Drosophila melanogaster: one gene and its partners. The protein of the gene in region 2 interacts with the protein of the main gene of each other region in a pairwise test. Each region holds a gene or a part of one and is shown on either strand. Other genes may lie near its edges. The genes, in order: CG15211, sle and CG13526.

Region 1 (11,912 bases), on a different chromosome or scaffold from region 2:
ATATGTATACTGAACTATCTGTAAGTCATTTTCGAGAACCTTATCGCATTTCAAGCAAATTCGCAGGGCGATTTCGTGAGTTAGGAACACTAAGATCATAAAGCTGGATGACAGGTGCCGATGATGACACACATTCGTGGTTGTTTTAGGCAATTAAATGGCAATAAGCTTTTGGCGACACAGCAACAAAATAAGAAATCAAACAGGTGTGCGCAGTCAGTCGACTTGAGCATTGTGTTTTTGGCTAAAACAAAAGGTACACGAAAAGTGAAAGCTGAAAGTTGTAGCCCAGGCCAAAAGCGACCTGTTGATAGCAACATCTTGTTGTTGTCCCCTTTGTTTTTTTTTTTGTGTGTGTTTCTTATTTGCTATCTGGTAAACAATTAACTGCACAGCAGCCGCATATCAAAGGTTGATTGAACTGTCAGCGATTTGTTGAGATTTGTTGATCTTGGATCTTGGATTCATGCATTTTCCAAATGGTGTTCGTATTCTTCATTTGACTTATATACTTTTTTTTTTAGCCTCGCACTTGTGATCCACAAATGTTGTGCGTCACTTTTCAAAAATAAAAGAGCCAGAGAGAAATTCGTCTGGGAATTATACGAATTTTATCTTTTCTAAGCATAATTTATGGCGGGCTTTTTATTTTTATTTTTACTTCTGCGTATGCATACATAAGGTATATATAACGACAAGATTGGCATATATATACACATTTGTATGTGTTAATCAGTTCTTATGTGCACGGTTGGAAAGTTCTTATAACCATATACATATAACCATAATCTTTAGTTCCATGGCAACGATCAAATTGCCTTGTGGAGCATGAAAAACTGCGTAGAGAGTTGGGTGCATCTGGGTATATCGATCGGGGCAGCAACATAATTATTTACTTTTCGAGCGAAATTCAATGACGCGAAACGCCACTGAAATGGATCGAGTTCTTGGCCTCCGATTATACGGTCTACGGTTCCTAGCCGCGTCTGCCTCGTCTGAAGTTCAATGGAAGCCACAGAAATTCTAGTGGTCGCACATAAACAACAAGATCGTTAGATTACAAACTTCCAACTACATATGTATAAATAATGTTCTTTCTTCGAAAGCTTAAAGTTTAAACAATACCTGTAAGCTAATATCCTCGCAATGTTTAACAAATATTCCAATTGTGGTGGTACAAATATATATATAGTTCGAAGTTAATGGACAACCATAACTGGATTATCTAATAGAAGGATCAATGCCCTTGAATTGTATACATACATATGTATGCCCTCCCTTTTGTTGGCTAACAATCTGTTAACAGGGCCAAGACGGAGCTTCAAAGATGAGCTCACTTTCCTGAGCGCCGTACACTTAGTCAGCGTCAATTACCTAAAATGTACCCAAGCACACAGTTTGCAAACACACACGTATTTGCATAGCCATGTGCACTTAGTGCAGTCCGTTTCGCAGCTGTAAGGCAAGACGCTAACTGAAACTTATAACTGAAAAGGGATAAGATTTGAGGTTTCAGAAAAAGTGCGCCCATAAGATAGTAGCAATATACAATTTATATTTCCGATAGTTTAAGTTAACTGCTTTCGGCTACAAGCCAAACAGCCTACGTTTATGGCATGCACTGTACATGATGCCACAACGATCGATCGCATTTTCATCAACAAACCGCCAACAAACGCCAGCATCTGTCTAAAGTGACTTTCGGCTCGAATTCCCCAGATCTCTTCGCCTCCCCCGCATTTTTGTGGTTAACAATTTCTTGAATGACACCCCGTATTTGTGTCATAATTTCCGCTTTTGGCTAAAACATTCGTATTAAAATTAAAATCCACGACAATGCTACAATGCCAAACAATAAGAATGCCGTCGGCAGCTTCCAAAATACACGTCTTACGTAATTAGGCTATTATAAAAAAAATATTCTCGAACGGCAGGGACCGCGACCAACAAAACTTAATAATAAATCGTTCTCTTTCCGAATTTGCATATACTCGTAGATATTCCGATGTGTATGTACGTATATATGTATATAGAGCACACTTGGCCATGGAATGCATATATGCTTGGGGCATCGCGTGAATATGTATGGTAAGTAAATTGAGGCAATGCTGGGTCCAAAATGCTAATTGCCAACGATAAGATACGAAAGAAGCGTTATATTTCGGGGGCTTTGTTGTTGTTGTTGTTGTTGTTGGTATGATTTGGGACCACTGGGCGGATGAGTATGTGTAATGGTCCGTGGGCAAATTAACGATCGGCAGTCAGGTGTCAGGAATCGATTGGCTTATCAGCAGGAGCATGGCTACCGAAAATATCGTCGGTCTGCTCCTCTCCGCTCGCAAACAGGTGGTCGCCACATTATCGTCCACTTTGTTCGGATAACGGTGCGTATGAGTAACGAGCGATTAGCTATGGCACTCAATATATTCGCAGAATTGTTCGAAATGAGTCACAATCGGTGAAAACAGTCAAAACTGCAGTCAAATTCGAACTATAGTACCAATAATCTAATATAATTTAGTTAAGCTCAAGAAACAAAAGTCTTAAAATAGATAGCCATGAAAGTGGTCAAGTTTCCCGCCATTTGGCCCAATTTGAATTATTTATTTAACGGGCTTAATACCTATCAATTGGCATTTGGGAAACGAGCAGCTGCAATTACGGCCCTGTTTTTGTGGCAACTCTCAAGTGGAGCACTTTTACATATTTCACACTGCGCTGAGACGACTATCAGCAGACTATCGCTTAAGGGTACCGATAAGATTAGTTGCCACAAAAATATCCCAATCGACAGGCACACCGCTAACCGAAAAAGAAAATTAACTAGCCATTGGTGAAATCAAAGCATATTTGAATGACAAGTATTTGCTTTCCTTTTTTGGTCAGATTAGTATATGAATTGGAAATAAGTCCTACCAGAACATCCGCAAATTACTTCGTCAGCCGTCAGCTAAACTAGCTTAGTCGCCTGATAATAGCCGATTTTCAGAACAGAAAATCAATATATATAAGTTAATAAACGACAGCTTATTGTGACGGTAATCATATCATCGAAGCACCCAGCACTCCTCCCATTTATCCGCTATTGATTTTCTCCGTAACAACTGACGAGCGCTTAATAATGCATTTTTCATGTGGGTCCCAAGCACTTGTCGTTATCCCTTGACCTTGTGCCCACCAAGCGTTGGCCCATTGAGAATAGAGAAATTTTTGCCTGAAAACTTTCTACACCTGAGCAGGTGATCCATCCGAGCGGTAGTTGAGTTACCCCAGTGCCCACTCATATAATTGCGAGTACCTTGTGTTGGCGTCGCATACCGATTGCATCGCCCACACTTTAACTTCATTTTGCTGCGGATTTGTGGGAAAAAAGATAGATCATACATAGCTTCGAATACCAGGCCAAATGCGTTAAGTGTTTAACGTCTGTGGAATACAAGAAGAGGGCTATGAGTTGACCACATGGCCATGGAGCTCACATGTTTGCAGTTCCTACAACTTGTCTACCCCTATCTTATCCGTCGTAAGTCTAATGAGATCCTGACATATGTACACACAAAAGGGGCAAGTGCACAACACACTTGTTGTCGGGCATATTGTATACATATTTGTGTAATTGAGTACACATCGAGGCTCTAGGGTTTCTTAAGTCTCGAGATATCTCGATAAAGAATGGTGGCGGAAGGCAAACTCTAGATAAAACCGTTCAATTTATGACGATAAGAGTGCTATGAGGAATTCTAACTTTTCTCTACAACAATTATCCAACGTATATTTTAATATTTCCCTCTGAAACTTTATGTTTCGAAGGCTCTATCAGTTTCGAGGAAATACGATAACAGCCAAATTCGGAAACTTATGTCTGAATTTAGCATTCCACAAAATAATGTATGTACATTATGGTACTTTTTCAACATAATCGCATTCCTAAGTTCTATTTAAACCGACATTTATGCATATTTTAAATCTAAGAGTTTAGAAACATGTAATGTACATAATTTTGATATGTTTGGAAATTTGGCCCAGTTTTTGGTTTCAGTTTTTAAAAGACTTCTACTCAAGTGGATCGTATTCAATAGTTTCGAAATATCATATGTTGCAATATTAAGTATTAGATTTTCATTTGTTTTATAATGAATTATAAAAATATAGTAGTGATATATCTCAGCTAGTTGTATGTACTCACAAACTCCACAATTTTGATGATGCCCGGTATGGTGCGGAAATAGTCGATGTTGAGGCGAATGGCGCTCCAGAAGCCGCCACCGCTGCCAACGGTCGGGTTCGCTCCACCTGGCGGTCCGTTCGTCGTTGTTGTTGTTGTGCGCTCGATATTGACAACGGTCTCGACCATATTGTTGCTGTTTATAGTTTGGCTTGGCTTAGTTTCAGTTTCAGTTTCAGTTTCAGTTTGGCGGGCAAGTTTACTTTATTAGCTGGGCACAACAACTATTTTTAAACACTTGTCGCGATTTTTGTCACAATAAAATAAGATGAGAAAAATAACCACCGCTTTCTATATGTTCGCTGGTCGATCGGCAGCTACCCTATATATCTATATCTGATGTATATGAACGCGTGTGACGCCCTCGCGCGAGTTACCACCCCACCCCCTAAACCCCCACGCCTCTAATTCTCAAATATATATATAGAGATATATGCCGCGTGTGGTGGGTATATTTGGGTATGTGGTGAAATGTGTGTAGTTTAGTATCTGGTAGTTAACTGTAGCTATATATCCATGAGCTGCGCTGCGATTGCTTTGGCGTTACGTTGCTTTGTCCACGGCGGCCGCTGGTCGACTGAACTGAACTGCGAGCTGAACTTGCCGCCGCTGCAGGCTAACGGTTAACCGCACGCCGCTCCGCTCCACACTAGCGCACTCACGCTCGCTCTCCCACTCCCACTCGGACTTACACTCACATTCGCGCTCTCCCAGTTAGTTAGTTAGTCAGTTGGCTATTTAGTTGCGCGCGCCCTTTGACGACGCCCCTGCAACGCCCTAAATAGAACCACCCCCCACCCCCCTTAGTTGCCACTCCCCGCTGCTTGTGGGGCAAACTAGTTTGTTGCGCCTGCGCCGCTAACTGTTATAATCGGCACAGTGGGCCAGATTGACCGTATTGTGTGATTGTGTTCATTCCAAAATAAAAGTAAAACTATTAAATAAATACAGTTGTCTAGATTTCTCAATAAAACATTTACATTTTATTAAAACCATCCGTACAAAATATGCAATATATATTATTAAATCATGTAGACAACGCGGCGTATGAGTAATATTTTCTTTTTTTTTTAGTTTTCTTCAAGAACCCACAAATTCCCGTTTGGCTAGCACTGCATTTCGCCATCTCTTTCTGATTCGCTCGCTGGATCGGCGTCCCTCTCTCTCTTCCCAACGCCCACTGTGCGTCGCAACTGGTTTAACGTTCTGATTCGACTTTTATGGCTGCCGCTGCAGCACGGCCGTGGGTCGCCTCTGATCGGAATTTCAAAACAGTGGAGCGTGTTGTGGATGTTGGGGCAACAGTGGGTGGCATGTGTGGTGCACAGTGGTCACACACGGCACAATTCGTGGTTGAAATGTGTGAGGGACTTTAAAAATTTTATAAGAAACCGATTGGTTTGCAAGTGAAACAATAAGCGGTGTTTTCATTTTTTTGGTTAGCTTTTATTTGCGTGCAATACAAACTATGACAAAATTTGCCTAATAAATAGAGCCTAATTTTTGGGCCGCTCGATGAGCCTAAAGACTACGAGTTGCGGATCAAATGGATTGATTTGGACAAGGACATGGACCGGACATAAGGCTAGACAGTACAGATTTATACTATGCGATCGGATATCGTATACAATTTTGGTTCAGCTGCTCGGAAATCGCATTCGAGTTCGCGTTAAACATGTGTGTGTGTGTGTGGTGTGTGTGTGTGGTGTGTGTGTGGGTGGGTGTGTGTGTGCATAGAATTCAGTTATATTGCTTATATAAATAACTCTGCTGCCTTGCAAACATAAGGAATTATTTTTGGATCACAATAAAATTATAAAAACATATATCTATATATATATATATGTATATACATATAGTATATAACGAAGGTAATAACGCAAAACCAATATGCAATGCACAGGTTTTGGAACCACCAAGCATTGGGGCACTGGGAAGGACTAGATAACAAGAGCAGCACGGTCTGCAAAATATAACTAAGCGCGGAGACTAACAGCTAACAGACCACAGGAGTATTTCAAGTACAAAACATTATCGGCCGCAGCGGCGATCAGCTCAGAGCGTCTCCCTGGTGTCAAGCTCAACCAATGGCGGCACTGGCTCCAACTCCGCACTCTGGCTTCTGCTCCTACTTAGGCTGGGACTGGGGTTGCTCCTTGAACTTGGACTGGTGTGGTGGCTTGCGTCTGCACTGATATTACTTGGCTGATTTTGTTCATGGTTGTTATGCGGCGACGAGGTTGCCGGGGTCAGAGGAGCCGGAAGTGCTGGCGTGCCGGGCGGGGAGAGTGCTGGCGGAGTGAGTGGGGCAACGGCCACTTCCCTTGTCTGTGGCGGCCAGTGGATGGACCTTAAAACGCTTTGGCTGCTGCTGGAGGAAGTGGAGGGACTTTCAGCATGGCCTGAAGCCAACGAGGATCCCGAGGTAGAGGCAATATTGTCATCGTCAGTCTTGGCCGTCTTCTTCTCCTTCTCCCTCTTCTCGCGCTCCTTCTCCATGTCGGCTATCTTCTTTAAGTAGTTTTTGTCCTGGGTCGGACATTCGAGGTGGACGCAGTGGAAGATCTAAGAGCAAGGAGAGCATTAGCTTATCGGACATGTTTTGTGGCGCTGCACTGCTACGTACCTCATTCGCTGTGTTGCGTGTGCCCACAATGCGGATATAGACCACTGGACGCGGAGTAAAGTGAAAGTTCTGCCAGGAGCGGGTCCTGTCGTTGCGGCGGTCCACGACCATTTGCCATTCCTTGCGGTTCGTCGAAATTTCGATGTAGAAGCTGTAGGTGCGATCATCGCAGTCCCACAGCAACAGCCTCATTGAGCCCAAATAGTAGGGTTGGCCCAAACGGACGACGATCTCGCCGCTGCCCAATTGGTGGCAAGTATATCCCGAGTCCCAGTCGTAGCGCACATAATCGCCGTTGATAAGCGCGTTGCGGGTGCGACTCACGCCGTCCGTCACAATGGCGCTCATCTCTACGGTGGCCACGTTCGTCTTGGGCGCCACAAAATGGTTAACTAAACGCGGCACCTTGGCCGTGTGCATGGCTTCCAGACCCACAACATGGAATACCTATATATTAATGGAAAGGGAAAAAGTTAAAGAATGGGGAAAGTTTGAAGAGATCACTGCTGACTTACCCGGTTTACAGTGTTCTGGGTGCCCACCAGTCGAATGAATCTGACGGGTCGTGCTTCGAAGTATAAGTATTGCCAGGAGCGGCAGTGGTAGTCGCTGTAGTCGACCACGCGATCCCAATGCTGCTGGTCGCCGGACACCTCAACGTAGTAGGAGTACGCCCGGCTGTCTCTGTCCCAGAGCAGCATGCGAATGTGATTGATCATGCAGAACGTGCCCAATTCGACCACAATGCCCGCATCTTTGCTGTCCGTAATGCAGTGGCGCGTATACCCGTTCTCCATGTCATAGGTGGTCACATCTCCATCCAGCAGCGCGTCGCGACACTCTCCCTGGATGCAGCGCGACAAAAACGTCTCCGCGGCCACGTTTTCCTCCGGCCAGAGCGCCGCCCTGTAGGGCAGCGCCTTTGAAGTGCTGCGCTCGTCGATGGCGTCGAGAATCTTGTCGGGATCCAGGATGCCCGAGGGACGCACCACCTGCAGCAGATGCTCGAGGTTCATCAGTGGCAGGCGGACATAACTAACCACGGACTTGAAGTCCACGTTGCTATTGAAGCGGCTCCACTTCCACACGGCCAAAAAGATCTGCACCTCGGGGGCGAAGAAGCAGTCACGCCGTAGTACCTCCTCCAGCGATTCCTGTAAGCATTACATACTCTTAGTGCCAACTTTACCAATTGGTTGTGAACTTACCTTGGATAGCGTATTGAAGCTGTTGTGCAGCAGCAGGTCGCCGGCATTGCGATCCATGAACATTAGGCAAACCTCGGTGAGTTCCTCTAGATTGTATAGACGCGCCGCATCAAGAATCATGCAGACATTGTCCAAGGCCAGATACTGGCGTAAATAATTCGATATGGCCATCTCCAGATCCTGGAAACCATACTGATTGGCCATGCCCAGCACATCGATGGTGGAATCCTCGTCCAATGTGGACAGCAGCAGTGTGCCCGAGTAAATGTAGCGCAGCAGCACCTTGAACGCTTCCAGCGGCACCTCAAGCGGTATTTGGCGCTGTGTGGTCTCCGCCATGCCGCCGTACAGCAGCGCCCGGAAGTATTCGCTGCGTGCCGCGAGTATGACGCGGTGGGCGGGTATGCGCTCCTCCTCGACGATGAACTCCACGTCCGCGTACTGTTCGTTCATGCAGAGGCGCGCCATGTCCGCTGAGAAGCGATCGCCCAGATCGACCACGTCGGTGTAGTCCTGCTCCATGGCGCCCTTCTTGCCGCCGCCGGACATCTTATGGTGTCCCTGGCTGCTCATCCTTCTCTTTTTTGTTTTTCTTCCGTGCGATGTGTATTTATGTGTGTAAGCAGCCAGAGGGAACAGTTGACAATTAACGTTTCGTCTCGCCTGCTGCGTCAATCCATCGATGACAGTTAGTGATATCGATAATATCGATGGCACAATAGGGATTCTTCTATTGCGGCGAAAAACTGTTATATGTGCAGTGTGACCGTAGGTGTGTATACCATTTAACGCGTACAACAACCATATCGACAGCCGTCTGCTAGCGAGCACATGAACCACATGGTTGCATCCGATAACATTTAGCGAATACATGAACCAAATGGTGTCTGTCTAATATGCCACCACTATTAGCGCGTTTCGGGTTGGTGTCTCTGCGCGCTCACTGGTCACACACGGTCAGTCTAGCCACAGCAGTTAGCGAGTGCAGTCACCACAGTGCGAGTGCTTATCGATAAAACCAGCAAGTCATCGATTTTTAGACCGAAGCGCTCTGTCAACTGCTGCGCACGGTCACTCTACACAAGTATTTCGTACCGTTTGTACGAGAAAACAGAGAAGAGAAAAACACAAGCTCAGCAACGCATCGATATTCGGCACAGTCCCAAAAGCAAACGAAGTGATAGAAGCTGCGTTTCTTAGCCAATTACCTCTTCATTGCAATCATGAAGTTCCAATACAAGGAGGAGCACGCCTTCGAGAAGCGTCGCGCCGAGGGCGACAAGATCCGTCGCAAATATCCAGACCGTGTGCCCGTAAGTACTCAAAAATATATATATAAATGCATATAGGTATAAAGAGACGTGTGTGTGTGTGTATATATGCGTGCGAGTGTGTGTGTATGTGCGAGCTTCTGTGTATGCGTTTGTTTTGCGTCGTTTTTTTTCTCGCTCTTTTTTTTTGTGTTTGCACCGAAGAAAATCAATACTGCGCATATTGGGTATTTCGATTGTTATTACAATATTATTGCACTGGCACATCAGGTGGCTGGGGAAATTTGTGCGATGGGTATTGCATAAAGTGCATTTTGCATTACTGGTGGGGGGAACAGGCGACAAGCTCTCAAAAGAAATTCAAACGAAAATTCTGCCCCCTGCATACACACATACGCACGCATACACGCGCACACAGGCACACAGATGTCGACAGGAAAAAACAAAAGCAAAAAAAGGGAGAGAACAAAGCAGCCGTTTCACTTGCTCAGCTGTTGTGATGTTGTTGTTTTCAGTGCTAGATTTCATCTGTGCCACCTCTTCCTCTCCTCTATCCCACCCTCTGGCTACACAGCAAGAAAATCGCATATATCTATCTGTCATCATAATTTAGTTACAAGCAAAGTTTTGACCACCCCGTTTTTTTTCTGTGTGTGCACCAACCAGTTGTTTTCGATTTTAATTTCGTTTGTTTGTTGGCAAAACGAGCGAGTACTGCGCATAAAAAAAGTCACTAATACTCACTAATACACACTTATACTAGCGCTGCTTGTTTTGTTTTTCGCAAATACACAAAGTGCGACTGGAATTAGTCATAGATGCGCTGCTGAACACAAAACAAAAATAATAAAAAAAATGGAAAACAGAAAGGTTGAAAAAAACAAAAACATCTTCTGCTTCTTCTTTGTTGTTTTTCTGCTATGTATGTATGCATTTCACCACGTTATCAGCGAAAACTCCTTTCACAAAAACCAAAACAAAACCAAACGAAACGAAACGACAAACTGCTGAAGGTGCCCCAATCGCAGCGAAAAGTGCAGTTCTTGTTTTCGATTTTGATTCGGACTGCATATGCATATGTATATATGTACAAATATGTACATATGTGCGCTATATATGCACCCCCGAAATATTATTGCCAGTGTTATTTTAGTGTTTTTTTTTTTTGGCAAGTGCAGCAGTGCCAAATCACAAATCACATAACAGCTGAGCGAGGGGCAAGGCCAGCTGGTCGCTCGGACCACCAGCATATCCATATATATCCGAATTCTATAGAATATACTTAGTACATACATACGTACTAGCACATCTCATACTTGTGCCTTGAGTTCGGCCAATGACGATAACGAATTTCGATAGAACACTAGTGTATAGAGGGGTGGCATTCGCGACAAGCAGTTTTTGCCCATTTCGTATTCACTATGTTGGCACCCGCTTCCTGTTCCAAAAAAAAAAAATTGGACAAACCAGTTTGCCAATAATTTGGCTAAGGCTAACTAATGAGCCCCTGGCTAGAACGGATCGTCTAGTCTAGGCCAGCTAGCAATTATTCCAGAGCCAAGGAAATGCAGTAGATTCGTTACAAAGCTCACTTCAATGACCAACTTGGTCGTCTTGGTGATCAATTTGGCTAAAATGCTGTAAAATGTGTATGTGTTTTTGCATAATGAACAAAAAAAAACAGATGATACAGGTGAACTTGAATGTAAACAGGTGCTAGAAATCTTAATTATATTACAAAACATATACCCCTTGAAAAATGCATTGAATTTGGCTTAAAAATAATATGTGAACAAAAACACACGTGTGTGTAATTACACATTCCAACTTACGAAATTCCAAAATGCATTACGAAATTACTGACTGAAATTACGAAATTACTCATTTTCCTGTCTAAATATAATATGAGTCAGGCCAATAACAATCAGGTATAGTTGTTCGTAAACAAATTAGTTTTCAATTAATATTAAGGTATTTTGTACACTAGATAGCAAGCATCAGAATTCATAAGACTATAGTTTATGTTTTCGGCATTATCATATTCCAAGGTAGCACGTATTCGAGCACACTTGCTTCCAGCAATGCAAATGCCATTTGTAGCCAAATATGTGAGCCTTATTGGGCACGTAATCAGGTGCGAAATGTGCGCACATTAACATGCACAAGTAGCCCGCAACAACAACTCACCTCCTGTATTTCTTCTTCTATTTAAACCCAAAGGTCATCGTCGAGAAGGCTCCCAAGGCGCGCATCGGTGATTTGGACAAGAAGAAGTACCTGGTGCCTTCCGACCTGACCGTCGGTCAGTTCTACTTCCTCATTCGCAAGCGCATCCACCTGCGTCCCGAGGATGCCCTCTTCTTCTTTGTGAACAACGTCATTCCACCAACATCGGCTACCATGGGCTCCCTGTACCAGGTAATTACCACAATGCCCATTATTATTAGCCTTGCAATCGAATCACATACGTTCGATGTATTTTTATAGGAACATCACGAGGAGGACTATTTCCTGTACATTGCCTACTCCGATGAGAATGTTTACGGCATGGCCAAAATTAACTAACTTTGCTCCGGTCGGGA
Region 2 (11,912 bases):
TCCATAACTCAGTAAAATTACATGAACTCAACGACGCCATACGATTGATAAATGACGGAATACATAGAAGATTTGGAAATGGCTATGCAGCTTTCCAGACTTGGACTGTTTAACCCCAAATTACTAAACTACGACAAACTTGAAAATGTGAACAGCCAAAACATTTTGAACATTAAAACATCCACTTGGATTAACTACAATGATAACCAAGTATTAATCATATCCCACATACCCATTTACCTTTCACTAATAAGCACAATTAAAATAATTCCTTACCCAGACTCCAACGGCTATCAGCTAGATTACACAGACACACAATCATATTTTGAAAAAGAAAATAAAGTTTATAATACCGAAAATAAAGAAGTAAAAAATGAATGTGTCACCAATATTATTAAACACTTAAATCCAATTTGTAATTTTAAGCCAGTACACACGAACGAAATAATAAAATACATAGAACCAAACACAATTGTAACCTGGAACTTAACCCAAACAATTCTTAACCAAAATTGCCAAAATTCAATTAATAAAATAAAAATAGAAGGAAACAAAATGATAAGAGTAACGCAATGCAAAATAGAAATCAATAATATAATTTTAAGTGAAAATCTGTTAGAACCAGAAATAGATTTGACATCACTATACACACCACTTAATATAACAAAAATAAAAATTGTAAAACACAACGACATTGTTGAGATGATTTCAGAGAACAATATTACACTTTACATACAAATGATCATTGTAATAATCGCACTAATTTTGTTGTACTCATATTTAAGATATGTATCATTTAAACCATTTATGATGCTGTATGCAAAACTTAAAATAAGAAAAAATCAAAATCAAAACACACCACAACAAACAGAAATAGAAGAAACTCCATTTCCCACACTATATCCATCAATCCCAGCCCAAGTATAGGCTTCTCTTTAAGGGAAGGGGAGTGACGTATTTGGGTGGTCCAAACCAGCCACTTCCATTATTTCAAAGAAATCAGTAATGCACTCTAGTAATTTTCCATAACGTATCCCAGCTGCGCAGCATTCGTTTATCTTTGGCAGCGCAGCCGTTCTTGTAAACATCCTAAAGCCTGACCTAAGCAGATTTGACTGCCCTCTTTCAACGCTACCTAATCTTAAGAACCCAAGAGCGAGGCTCTCCCGAAATACAAATATTGTTCAAATACTGAGGCTTCTCCTCAATCCAATTTGCATTTGATTTTTAGTCTTAAGCTGAGATCCAAAGAATAAAGTCGTGAAACTATTTCTCCTAAAACTATTTTTTATTTCTTGGCGTTGTCCTTAGTCAACTGACGGGACATTAGTTCGACTCATAAATAAAACAACAATTTTACTATATATATAATACAGACTAAATATTCAGTATTCATATTGTGGTAAAATTACTGCTCCCCAAGCCAACTGACCGAACTGCTATTGGTTGTTTCAACTGCAGACGGTTCCCGGATCACCAAGACGTAGCCAGCACTAGTCCAAACACTAGCTACGTAGATTCCAAACTTTTTACGCAATATGATTGGAGCCGGTCCCTTCAGAGGTGACTGCTTCATTGATATGACCTTCATTTTGGGAGATCTTTTGTAAGACTTCTCGTCGGTGTCCTCCAACTTAACGCGCTTCCTCATTTGTCGCAAGCCAAATGAGCCACGATTTCCAGATGTATCCTTCTTCCGAACCGGTGGTAAATGCTTCTTGGTCTGGACCTTCTTTTTGGGTGTTCTTTCGAACGATTTCTCCAACTTAATGCGTTTCCTCATCTGTCGCAAACCTATTCTCTCAAGTTCTTCTGAAAGATCCGAGAAACTGTCCGAAATGCGTTTGCGCTTCGAAAATTCTTTGAATTTGCTGGCCACAGAAGAGGATAGCGACGAAGACAGTTCATCCTGGATGTAGGCTGCATCGCCAATTTTTGCATTGACTAAAAGCAAAAATCGAAATAGGATACTAAATCTTGAGAATAGAATAGCATTTTACTTACAAATTGTTCGCATTGCGAAATGGTGAGCCATATGTGAAAAAATATGAAAAGTTTTGTGCAACATGACGGACAGGCAACCGCCAGCCTACTTTTCCAGAGAATTGTCCCCGAATGTTCGGACCCCTAATAAAAAGTTTCCTCCTTCATTTTGTATTTGTATGGGTAGGCTTTATTTTCTATTTCTCAGATGCTCAAAAAAAAAATGGGACAAGTTCGAAAATTTCTTAATTGATTTCATATCTTGATTGGATCAACAACCAACTTGCTAGCGTTAAGTGTGGTTAAGTGATGTGCAATTGAACAAAATAATAATATATGGCAAAGAGCAAGGGCTTGCGTAACAAATAACCAATAGAACAAATAATAGAATCAAATTCAATCGGGGAAATGCTAATGAAAAGAAACAAAAACTGAAGTATGCATTGTGTACACTTAACATTTCCACTAATTTTTCTCTAAATGTAATGTATCCTAAGATCTGCGAGCAAAGATCTGCTCCTTGAAGCGCAGCGCCGCCTGTTTGGCGGAATTGTGTTCGACCTTTGGTGCTGCGTGCTTGGCCCGCTTCCTTGACATCCCGGAGGGTCCTGGCTCCTCGCGGAACCCATGCATTTTCGGTGTGGGCGGCAGCTCGCGGAAATACTTCTGTTTGGGTGTGCACGGCTCAACTCGAACCATGCCCGAACTTGTCTTAATCAGCTCGATTATGGGAACTTTAGTGGGCGGCTCATCGACCACCGTCACGTAGCCAGCATTTGTTCGAATACGATGGCCGTGGTTCTCCTCATCGGAACTCTTTAGCGGTGATGCCTCCTGGGGCTTTTGCTTCTTCTTCCCCTTCTTCTTCTGTTTGGCTGATTTCTTGTCCACCACTGGCGGCTGTGGCGACAATTTGCGCGAGAGCGTACGTGGCTGCGGAGGAGCAAGGACTTTTGGTTATACTCTTATTATTTGTAGGCGACTAACTAACGCTTACCTCTGCTTCGGTGGCTTTTGGTGGCGCCAGAAGATTAACAGCATGACTCACAGCCTGGCGCGCTGCCTGTAGGCGCTTTACATCCTTCTTCAGCGCCGGTGGCGCTGAATTACCTTCTTCAGGTAATTCCGACGCAGATGGTTTCTCAGATGAAGTAGTGGGCTTTTCTTCAATAGGAACTTCACCATTCGAGACTTCCCCGTCGCTGTGATGTTCCTCGGCGACAGTCATTGTTTCGTTTTCGTTGTCCTCCTCCATTGAATCCGTGGAAGCACCATGTGAGCTCTTAAGGCGCTTGCGCTCGTGCTTAATCTCCATTTCCTCAAGATCCTCTGGTGCGCCTGATAGGCTTTTCGACAGGCGCTTGCGCTTGTTTTTCTGCCTCTTTTTCTCGGCCACCATGTCAACAAAGGACTGCGAGGGGCAGAAGTCATTGCCAACTTCAACCCGTTCACTACGGCGTCTCAGTTTGGGATTCTTGGCTGCCAGCTCGGGACTGGGGACATGTAAGGACTGGCGGCGGGATTTCTGTAGAGGGTTAAACATTTTTTCCAAATGGCTTAGATCACTAGAGGCCAATTCGGCGAGCAGAGCTTCTTCATCCGCAGTTGAAATTATGGATTTTTTGATTGTGGAAGGGCTTTTGATTTCAGATGGTTTATCTTCATCAGACATCTCGGTTTCGGCTTGTTTGTCTTTATCAGACTTCCCGTTTTCGGCCGGTTTGTCCTTATCAGACTCCTCGTTTTTACCAGCCTCCTTAGGGTCTTCAGTTTCATAAGAATCCATTATTTCGTATACGCTTTTGTTGCCTTTGGCTCCAGACATTTGGTCCATGAAAGATGTAGATTTTTTAATTTCGGAATGGTTTTCGCTTTCAGCTGGTTTAGCTGCATCACTTTGGTCTTGATCTTGCTCTTCCTCGTCATCAGAATCCACGATTTCGTACAGGCTTCTGTTGTTCTTGGCTCCAACCTTCTCTGTCTTCTCCTCCTCGTCGTGATCCGAGGAGTCTACCTCCATGACGCTGATATCGAGTTGCGTTTCTGTCTTGTTAAACCGCTCCGATTTGTTCAGTTCGTTGAGAGCGACTTGGCGAGATCTTTCCAGCTCGGTTTCCGAGATGGAAGATTTTTCCTCACTGACGTTTAACAGTTGGGCCGCTTCGCTCAATTTACTGGCATTGGATGAGCAGTTACTTTGGTTTTTGGGCTTCTCTGTTTTGTTCTCACTTGAGTCGTCATTGGTCTGAACTTTTCCATCATGTTCTTCATCACTGGGGCTCGCTATAATAATGCGGCGACGTTTCACGCTATCCTTCTTCCGAACCGGTGGTAAATGCTTCTTGGTCTGGACCTTCTTTTTGGGAGTTCTTTCGAACGATTTCTCCAACTTAATGCGTTTCCTCATCTGTCGCAAACCTATTCTCTCAAGTTCTTCTGAAAGATCCGAGAAACTGTCCGAAATGCGTTTGCGCTTCGAAAATTCTTTGAATTTGCTGGCCACAGAAGAGGATAGCGACGAAGACAGTTCATCCTGGATGTAGGCTGCATCGCCAATTTTTGCATTGACTAAAAGCAAAAATCGAAATAGGATACTAAATCTTGAGAATAGAATAGCATTTTACTTACAAATTGTTCGCATTGCGAAATGGTGAGCCATATGTGAAAAAATATGAAAAGTTTTGTGCAACATGACGGACAGGCAACCGCCAGCCTACTTTTCCAGAGAATTGTCCCCGAATGTTCGGACCCGTAATAAAAAGTTTCCTCCTTCATTTTGTATTTGTATGGGTAGGCTTTATTTTCTGTTTCTCAGATGCTCAAAAAAAAAGGGGACAAGTTCGAAAATTTCTTAATTGATTTCATATCTTGATTGGATCAACAACCAACTTGCTAGCGTTAAGTGTGGTTAAGTGATGTGCAATTGAACAAAATAATAATATATGGCAAAGAGCAAGGGCTTGCGTAACAAATAACCAATAGAACAAATAATAGAATCAAATTCAATCGGGGAAATGCTAATGAAAAGAAACAAAAACTGAAGTATGCATTGTGTACACTTAACATTTCCACTAATTTTTCTCTAAATGTAATGTATCCTAAGATCTGCGAGCAAAGATCTGCTCCTTGAAGCGCAGCGCCGCCTGTTTGGCGGAATTGTGTTCGACCTTTGGTGCTGCGTGCTTGGCCCGCTTCCTTGACATCCCGGAGGGTCCTGGCTCCTCGCGGAACCCATGCATTTTCGGTGTGGGCGGCAGCTCGCGGAAATACTTCTGTTTGGGTGTGCACGGCTCAACTCGAACCATGCCCGAACTTGTCTTAATCAGCTCGATTTTGGGAACTTTAGTGGGCGGCTCATCGACCACCGTCACGTAGCCAGCATTTGTTCGAATACGATGGCCGTGGTTCTCCTCATCGGAACTCTTTAGCGGTGATGCCTCCTGGGGCTTTTGCTTCTTCTTCCCCTTCTTCTGTTTGGCTGATTTCTTGTCCACCACTGGCGGCTGTGGCGACAATTTGCGCGAGAGCGTGCGTGGCTGCGGAGGAGCAAGGACTTTTGGTTATACTCTTATTATTTGTAGGCGACTAACTAACGCTTACCTCTGCTTCGGTGGCTTTTGGTGGCGCCAGAAGATTAACAGCATGACTCACAGCCTGGCGCGCTGCCTGTAGGCGCTTTACATCCTTCTTCAGCGCCGGTGGCTGCTTGGACGATTTCGCTGTGTTGGTTTCCGATTCTGAGCCGATGGTGCCCAGGAGCTTGGATGGCGCTTGCGCAGCAATTCGCTTTGGCTTCTTTTGCTTTGCTCCGCTGGCAAGATGCTATAAAATATAAGCGAATTTAGTGTGAATCGTAAAGGAGATTTTTTATTTAAGAAACTGACCTCTTTCTTTTCCTTTAACTTAGCCTCGTTGGCAGCTTCCAGGAGGTTGTGACAGTATGCCAAGTAATATTCGGCAGTCTTCTCCACCTTGACCGGCGCCATACCCTTCGGTTTTGAAGTCACAATTTCTGTCGGTCTTTCCTCGGATCGCGGTGAATCGCAAGTTTTCGGCTTCTCCATGAGAAGCTCCTCAACGGCGACAGTTTCTTCTTCTTCAGGTAATTCCGACGCAGATGGTTTCTCAGATGAAGTAGTGGGCTTTTCTTCAATAGGAACTTCACCATTCGAGACTTCCCCGTCGCTGTGATGTTCCTCGGCGACAGTCATTGTTTCGTTTTCGTTGTCCTCCTCCATTGAATCCGTGGAAGCACCATGTGAGCTCTTAAGGCGCTTGCGCTCGTGCTTAATCTCCATTTCCTCAAGATCCTCTGGTGCGCCTGATAGGCTTTTCGACAGGCGCTTGCGCTTGTTTTTCTGCCTCTTTTTCTCGGCCACCATGTCAACAAAGGACTGCGAGGGGCAGAAGTCATTGCCAACTTCAACCCGTTCACTACGGCGTCTCAGTTTGGGATTCTTGGCTGCCAGCTCGGGACTGGGGACATGTAAGGACTGGCGGCGGGATTTCTGTAGAGGGTTAAACATTTTTTCCAAATGGCTTAGATCACTAGAGGCCAATTCGGCGAGCAGAGCTTCTTCATCCGCAGTTGAAATTATGGATTTTTTGATTGTGGAAGGGCTTTTGATTTCAGATGGTTTATCTTCATCAGACATCTCGGTTTCGGCTTGTTTGTCTTTATCAGACTTCCCGTTTTCGGCCGGTTTGTCCTTATCAGACTCCTCGTTTTTACCAGCCTCCTTAGGGTCTTCAGTTTCATAAGAATCCATTATTTCGTATACGCTTTTGTTGCCTTTGGCTCCAGACATTTGGTCCATGAAAGATGTAGATTTTTTAATTTCGGAATGGTTTTCGCTTTCAGCTGGTTTATCTGCATCACTTTGGTCTTGATCTTGCTCTTCCCCGTCATCAGAATCCACGATTTCGTACAGGCTTCTGTTGTTCTTGGCTCCAACCTTCTCTGTCTTCTCCTCCTCGTCGTGATCCGAGGAGTCTACCTCCATGACGCTGATATCGAGTTGCGTTTCTGTCTTGTTAAACCGCTCCGATTTGTTCAGTTCGTTGAGAGCGACTTGGCGAGATCTTTCCAGCTCGGTTTCCGAGATGGAAGATTTTTCCTCACTGACGTTTAACAGTTGGGCCGCTTCGCTCAATTTACTGGCATTGGATGAGCAGTTACTTTGGTTTTTGGGCTTCTCTGTTTTGTTCTCACTTGAGTCGTCATTGCTCTGAACTTTTCCATCATGTTCTTCATCACTGGGGCTCGCAATAATAATGCGGCGACGTTTCACGCTAGACCTCTCAGCTTGTTCAGATTCTTCAGCGTCTTCAATTTCATCCTCGCCAGAGGAGTAGCAAAGCTGTCCTAAATCTTCCTCGTCTTCGTTGTCCGATACAATAAACGAATCGTCGCCATCAGATTCTTCTGGGGTAGACTCCTCAGTATCTTTACTGCCAACGGACTCCCCATCGATTGGAATTTCATTCTCCTCCATTTCCCGGCGAAGCGAACTGTCCATCGAATCTCCAGACATGTAATCTTTCCCAGCATCTTCAGCTTCTAGGTCCACAAATTCGGAAATGGATTTGTCTTCTTCGTGCTCCTCCTCGTTTTCTTCTTCATTCCCGTGGTCTTCAACATCTTCCTCAAAGCTTTCTAGACGAGCCAGGATTTTATTCTCAGCCTTTTGCTTTGACATGGGTGATTGTTCCACCATCTCATCCTTAGCATTCTTTGATTCCAGCTCATCGAATGGCTTGATAGCATCAATTTGAGGAGGTGCTGGATGCAATTCCTCCGTGCTGTTGGACAGGCCACGTTCCTGATCTTTTAATATTGGTGTGGAACTATTACGACCCTTTTGCAGAGCCAGTTTTAAGGGCGTCTCCGGCTTGGGGGTTAGAATGCGACAAACTGGCACCTTCTCACGTCCTGGAGTCTTGGGAAACCGTTTCTTTTCTACCTCTAAGTCATCAGTGTCGTTGTTGAAGTCCACCGATTTTTTTTGCTCCACAGCAGGAGAACGCACAGCACGAGCTCTTATGCTGGGCAGATGTATAACCTCGGTAACATCGATTTTGTTTTGCTTGTCATCATCCATTGAATCATCTGGGTGTACTTCCTTACTGTCTTCGACATATTTTGGAGCTTCCGACGGAAATACCGGCTCATCGTCGTCGAGGTCTACAAACTCCAGTTCTTTTGGTTTCTCTACTGGCTCATCGGTTTGTGGCTCTAACTGAACAATCGAATCTTCTGCATCCAAAAACTCTTGGTCCTCCATGGACTCATCTTTTTCTGGGCTTGTGTCCATTAAGTCAACAGTAGAAACGTTTTGTGGAGTATCTCTTTTCTTTTCTATTTGAGGATGATCAATCAGTTGCTGAGTTTCTACTTTGCTTTCAATTATAGGGGGTTCAATCTTCTGGGGAGTTTCGGTTTTCGTTTTAATTTCATTGTCTACCCCAACGGGCTCGTCTTTTTCTTTAATTTCAGGAGTGCCAACAGTATGGACTTTCTGCAGAGTCTCGATTTTTCTTTCAACTTTGGGGGACTCGACGCGTAGTGTTTCAAACACATCATCCATGTTTTCTTCAATTTTCTTGGATGTCGAGGTTGGAGTTATTTTTGTAATTGTATCTGCGCTCTCATCAGGGTGAAGAGCTTTACTTGAACCTTGAATTTTCGAAAGTGTAGTAAATGACTTCAGGAATGATTGTTTGCCAGCATCCTTGTCAGGTTGGGCTGATTCGTGTGTTTCTGGTGCCTGTGAATGGGCTTCAGTGATAGATTTATTTTGCTCCTCAACAACTCCATTATCCTTGAGTTCATCCGGTACAATCAATGGCTTCGCCTTTTCCATCTTCTTGCCAGAGAATTTGTCCATTGAAAGTTTCTCGAGCCTGACTGCCACTTTGGGAGTGGTTTTAATATTGGGTTTAGCTTTTTGCTCAACTTTGGGTGAATCGTTAAGATCACGAGGCGTATTACTGGACGAACGAGTGGGCATTGGTGGAGTCTGAGACATTGAACGCGTCACTCGTTTCTCATCACTCTGCTGATTGGGTGTGAGTGTTCGCCCTGGACTCGGACTGACACTGGGCTTCCGCTGTGCCTTTCCCTTGCCCTCTTTGGGCACAGGGCTTGGACTGGGGCTGGGCTTTTCCTGCTTGACCTCATTTTCCTCAGGTTCCTCTGTTAGTGTAAGCTGTTGGCGCACAGATCTGGTGTTTTTAGCTGGCGTGCGAGCTGTCCTTTTCACGGAAGAGGGCGTCGTCGGCTCGGGAGTTTCACCGCGTGCCAAGGATGCGCGCCTGGTTCGTGTTGGAGTCCTCACATCTAAAGTGGACGAGTTCAGACGTGTGCGACGTGTGGCACGTGGCGAAGCGGTACCTTTTGAAGCGAGAAATAATATTCTTAGACTTGAAACAACCGGGATCCGAGTTGGGCCACAACTTACCGAGTTCCGCAACCGTATCCAACTGCGGAGTGCTCGGACGACTGTCCGTTTCCAGAAGGGACAAGCGACGAGTTCTAGCCCGGGTCACTACCATATTTATTGGATTAAACGGATAAACGAAAAAATGAATAATGTGTAAGAATAAATTTTATTCGATCGAATGCAAAGGCGACCTGCTTGAGATAGGAGCCCCCCGTTAATGGCTGACTTTGGAGCGCCGGTTTACTTGTCCCGTTGCTTTTTCAGCACAGCACGCTTAGATTCACTCACCGCGCTTTCCATCTGTGTTCTCCGTATTATCATCCATTTGGCCCGGCTCTTTTGTTTTTCGCACACAACAATTAATTGAAATCAAGAGAGTTTCGAACCCGCATGCAAATTATAACAAAGAAATAGAAACGAAGACGCCAAGACGCCGAGCCAAAAAGTGATTTTCACATGTGCCGCAAACTGCGACGTTCTCTAACACTGCAGCCGGCTGTTGAGCATTTGTGTGGCGGCCGTTAGAATTCAAACTAGTATAGTTTCGGGGCTAAATTCAATGTGTCGATAGCCTAATATCACCTTCAACTGATGAATTATCTTAAATTAAATTTTATTCGAAATTAGGTTTCTATCTTCTTATTTTAAGTGCAAAATCACTTAATAGTTCGTCCGATTTAGACGCTGTGCAGCATTGGCCTGTTTCGGCACCGATAAAGTAGCCGATATCATTTAAGCGGAATTATCGCGAAATCTAAATTTAAACCATGACCAAACCGCCAAGACTTCTTGTAACGGTTGAATAACTGGATATTAAAGCGATGTGTTTATACATATGTATGTATTTATAAAAGTACAAATATTTGACGATAATCATTTTTATATTTAAACAAAGAGTATTTTTTTAGACAATTCAATAATAAAGTGTAATTTCTATTTATTTGCTTAGTGATTATATTCATAATCAGGCTGTTAACATTAAGTTGAAAACATAATTAATGGCTAGAGCATATTTTGCTTTGCTAACTCCGGATTAAACTGACTGTTGTACTTTTGGACAACCTTAGGCGTCGAAGCCGGCGTGGATTCGGCACTGGCAGCCACCGGCAGCTCCTTGGGTGCGAACAGAGCCTCGGAACGCTGGCGTTCCGCTGTTTCCCGTCGCATGCGCTCCCTTCTTAGCGTCTCGAGCTTTTCTCGTTTTATGCGTTCCTCGGCCAAAAGGGTCTCCCTTGAACCATTTTTGCTCTTGTGCTTCTTCTTATCTTTCTTGGATTTCTTGTCCTTGTGGGGTATTGAAGGTTCCTGAGAAGGCGCGGGTGTCCTTTCGCGAATTCTTTTTGTGGCCTTTTTGGGATCCTTTTTTTCTGGCGGCAACAAAGCATTAATTAGGGTCAGAGGATCGTGGGCTAGCTTTTGCTTATGATGAGTTTCAGTAGCTGTGGGATCCCCAACTTCTGGTCTTTTGGGGGCTAACTCGTACCAGCTGCGCACTTTCAAAGCTTCATTGGTGTCCTGGCCCAAGTAGGTGAGGTAGCCGATCTGCTTCTCATACTTCTCCTGCTCCTCCTTTTGCTCCTTTTCCAAGTCTTTGTTAGTGGTCTTCACTCTCGCCTTGTAGTCGGCAAAGAGATCCACCCCTTTGGTTGTTTCAGTACTGCATTGCGACTCCTCTCGAGATTCCTTGGAGGCCTTCTCCGGCAAGCCCGATTGGCGGCGCAGGAAGTTGATTCGTGCCTCGCTTTCCTATTTGATAAAAGTACACATTACTATGTTAAATTGACGATATTTGGGCAATACCCACAGCAAATTCCAATTTCTCCTGCCGGACTTTTTCTTCTGCTGCGGCAGCCGCTTGATCCCGGCGCACGCGGGCAATGTTCTCCTTGGTACGCACATGCCAGCTAAGAAATACACGTGAATTGATGAGAGGTATCTTTAGAATCAGTATAAAACTTACCGTTTTTTTGGTAAAATATTCATTTTATTTCCACTTTGTTGACATTCCTGTAATCGATTACTCGATAGGCATCTCTGTCTATCGAATGGCTCTGAATTATCGAATGCCCTAAGCGCAGTAGGCCGAATTTGTTGCTCTCTAGCTTGAAAAGTGGACTATTTTATTTATTTTTTAAATGTGTTTACTTTGCTGACTTGACGTGGCCACACCCACTTACACTCGCGCGCCCCCTGGGCACTCGATTAATTTTTGGCATTCACAGGCGATTGCTAGCAATCGAATGGCAAACACATCTGTCAGAAGGTAGAAGAAGAAGGGGCAAAACGAAGAAGAAGAAGAAGCACAGAGCTCTGTTTCGCAGCAATTATTTTCCGAATTGAATTGCGAAAAAAACCCCTACAGAGTATCCCAACCAGAAGCAGGAGCACACAAATTGCCGCGGCGCACCTCCGGAATGGCCACGGAGCAGCATCACCAGCAGCGCGTCCTCAAGCAAGATGGCTACTTGGATTTGGGCGACTGTAATA
Region 3 (2,782 bases), on a different chromosome or scaffold from region 2:
CGTTCCTTCTGGATAAGCTCCTTCTTCATCTTCTAGCTCTTCCCCTACTGTGAGCCCCGCCTGCAGCGCCCAGCCAACTGGCAGCTGACTTGTTTACACAACACTTTGCATGTGTGTTTGTGTGTGCGGCCATTGCACATGTGTCCATGTCCATGTCCTGCAGGGGGAGTGGCAGGGGCGGTGGCGAAAGGATGGCAAAGTCAGCAAGCAAAGCTCTGGCGGCTTAATGGACGAAACGTGCTGTTGAATTAATTTCTGGCTTTATGCTCTCAATTTTTTCCTTCCGTTTTCCATTCAGCCGCCTTCGTTTTTTCTGCCAGCAGGCAGAAATATATGTACGTCTATGTATTGAATTTCAATTTTTAAGTACTTCAAACATTAAGCCCTACTAAAAACAAAATAAAGAACATTTTAAATAAAAAAAAAACCATTATAAAATTAAACGAAAATTCATAAACACTGACTGGCTTTTTACACAAAAATTAAATATATTAATAATTATGAAAACAATAATTTTTATTATAATCTACAATAGATTTGTGAGATACATTTTTGTTTGTTTGCTTACTCTGTATGAAAAATGTTCAATTTTGCTTGCTGTCTCAGCTCAAATGGGGCTGTGCATAAAGCCTACGAAATCGCGCAAGCTTATGCGACCATCGCCATCCATATCGACTGCTTGGCAGATATCCTTAATATCGTCATCGGTTACGACTTCGCCCAGGACGACCATAATGGCACGAACATCCTGGACGGTGACGTAGCCGTCGCGATCGCGGTCAATCATGTTAAAGGTCCGGCATAGACTTTTATCACTATCCACATTGGCCATTCGGGGCGCCATCATGCGTATAAATTTTTTCAAGTCCAGCCTCTCCTCGTCTCTCACAGCCACCGAATGGATGAGATCGTACAACTCTGCCTCAGTGATTTCGTAACCCACTGATATTAGAGCCAGTCGCACCTCGTTGGCTGATAATGTGCCATTCGAGTCCAGATCATACTTTTCAAAGGCATCCCTCAGTTCGTCGATATGCTCATTCGTCAGCTCATTGCCGGAAAAAGAAGGCATGGCACTAGCAAATAAAACCCTAAAGTAGTTCAGGAAAATCAGGAATACAAAAAAAAAAAGGAGAAATGGGGAAAAACCGATGTGTATGAAAACTGACAATCAACTCAACTCAACCGAACTCAAACTCTGTTCTCGATGGCTAATAAAACACTTAGGCAAGCAATTGTTGTTGTTGCGGTCACAAACTTTTCCGGAATAATAATGCATCATATACTCGTACAAGGGGCAATAAAGGGAAAAAATAAGGAAAGCAGAGATGCTGAAGCATGCAACGTTTGGAGAACCATCCATCAATTTGTCAATTCAGCGCTTGCCTTTGAGTGGCCGTCCATGGGACAGGAATGATGTTAGATGACGATGATGATGATGATGGGCAGTAGTTGTGCTGTGGAGTGCTGGCCATAAAAAATCAAGCGGGCATATAAATTGAAAGGATGCTCTTGTACTAGCTGAAAGGATTTTTTGTAATCCCTGTCCAGTTTCAAGTAATTATATTGAATAAATGCTATCATAGTTGGACTTTTAAATTTCAACCATACTGTGAAATATTTTTGAGAAAATCCTAATTAAGACTGCTGTAATTTCAGCAAATAAGAAAACATTTATTTAACCACACCTTCTGTCTAATGCTTCTACCTCCGCCTCCTCAAATCCCTACAATCGCAGGGGACGCGAAGCCACTGACTTGTCAGGGATTTCTAGGCTTAGAAATAAGTTTTCCGACAGCCCATTTGATTCATTCAACTTTGAGGCCTGCTCTTGTTGCGTTCATTCCCCCAAAGACTTTGAGCCGGATGATAAGCAAATGAAATGTTGTCGCCGTCCCACATGACGAATGATTAATGACACGAATGATACATTTCTCCCGGGGGCAAAAACCACGCGCCACGGCCAGTCAAAAGTTTAAACCCAACTTTAACCATGGCAGGCACTTTTTCACTCGGTGTCACGGTGCCTGGCTGCAAATTTCGCTAGTCAGAGCTTAGTGGGGGATACTGTTTGCAAAGTGACTGAGTCCGGAGTCTTCTTCTGCTACATTAGCCTACTTCCTCCGCTCCACAAGCAACAGCCCACTCAGGATTCCTCTGATGCTGCAACAACTTGTGCTTGTGTATTTGCTTAAGCCGAGCTCGCTTTCCTGTTTCCTTCCGCTGCCTTTCCACTTTTCCACATTCCCACCGCTTCCATGAAAAGGGGGTGGGGGCGCAATGGCGAAGGGGCGCTGGGGCGGGGTCTCAGGAAAATTGATTTTGAAATAGTTGGTCTGCCTTTTTAAATTTGATTGACGTTATTACATTACATAACATCGCACACTAAGAGGAAAGGCGAAGCAGCTGGCTTAAGTTATTCATCCATTTAGCCCCACTTAGGGGCGGGGGATGGTGGTGGTTGGCAGCTAGGGGCGGCGGGTGATTGTGACGGGCAACAACAAGTGGAAAACTGTCATTATATTTGAGTTATTGATGGTTTTTTTTTTTCAAAATCATTTTGCAACAATGTTGCTGCTACCCAACCGCACCGACACACTCACACACACACCAACACACTTTAGTCACACGCTGACAGGATCTACTCCCCCTCAACCGCCACCCCCTTACCCTTCCGCACACACACACACACACTGTTACATTTACGCTTAGTTAAACGCATGGCTGTGGCTTGTTAACGCCGACAAGCGCAAAAGTTTGCCGTTCGCCAAATGCTTGCGAT

Evidence for each region.
Region 1: the proteins of sle (region 2) and CG15211 interact in a two-hybrid assay, tested with the Drosophila melanogaster proteins (one large-scale study listed by BioGRID).
Region 3: the proteins of sle (region 2) and CG13526 interact in a two-hybrid assay, tested with the Drosophila melanogaster proteins (one large-scale study listed by BioGRID).

Annotation. Positions count from the first base shown.
Region 1 is NC_004354.4:10,765,441-10,777,352, reverse strand, and holds the start of CG15211 (uncharacterized protein), read right to left. Parts: upstream 4,813-11,912; 5' UTR 4,727-4,812; intron 4,586-4,726; exon of another isoform or gene 4,556-4,585; 5' UTR 4,355-4,555; coding exon 4,187-4,354; intron 1-4,186. Other genes in the region: BTBD9 (BTB (POZ) domain containing 9), read right to left, coding at 6,281-6,790, 6,852-7,298, 7,367-8,005, 8,060-8,632; Atg8a (Autophagy-related 8a), read left to right, coding at 9,283-9,372, 11,551-11,748, 11,818-11,895.
Region 2 is NT_033777.3:10,331,115-10,343,026, reverse strand, and holds sle (slender lobes), read right to left. Parts: upstream 9,913-11,912; 5' UTR 9,751-9,912; coding exon 9,714-9,750; intron 9,631-9,713; exon of another isoform or gene 9,538-9,630; coding exon of another isoform or gene 9,531-9,537; coding exon 9,444-9,530; intron 9,377-9,443; coding exon 5,868-9,376; intron 5,806-5,867; coding exon 5,584-5,805; intron 5,520-5,583; coding exon 5,082-5,519; 3' UTR 4,762-5,081; downstream 1-4,761. Other genes in the region: CG18545 (uncharacterized protein), read right to left, coding at 1,409-1,944, 2,005-2,068; CG12592 (uncharacterized protein), read right to left, coding at 2,476-2,916, 2,981-4,551, 4,612-4,624; CG12818 (uncharacterized protein), read right to left, coding at 10,428-11,171, 11,230-11,329, 11,386-11,408; Bruce (BIR repeat containing ubiquitin-conjugating enzyme), read left to right, coding at 11,840-11,912.
Region 3 is NT_033778.4:22,753,615-22,756,396, reverse strand, and holds CG13526 (uncharacterized protein), read right to left. Parts: upstream 1,179-2,782; 5' UTR 1,073-1,178; coding exon 608-1,072; 3' UTR 501-607; downstream 1-500.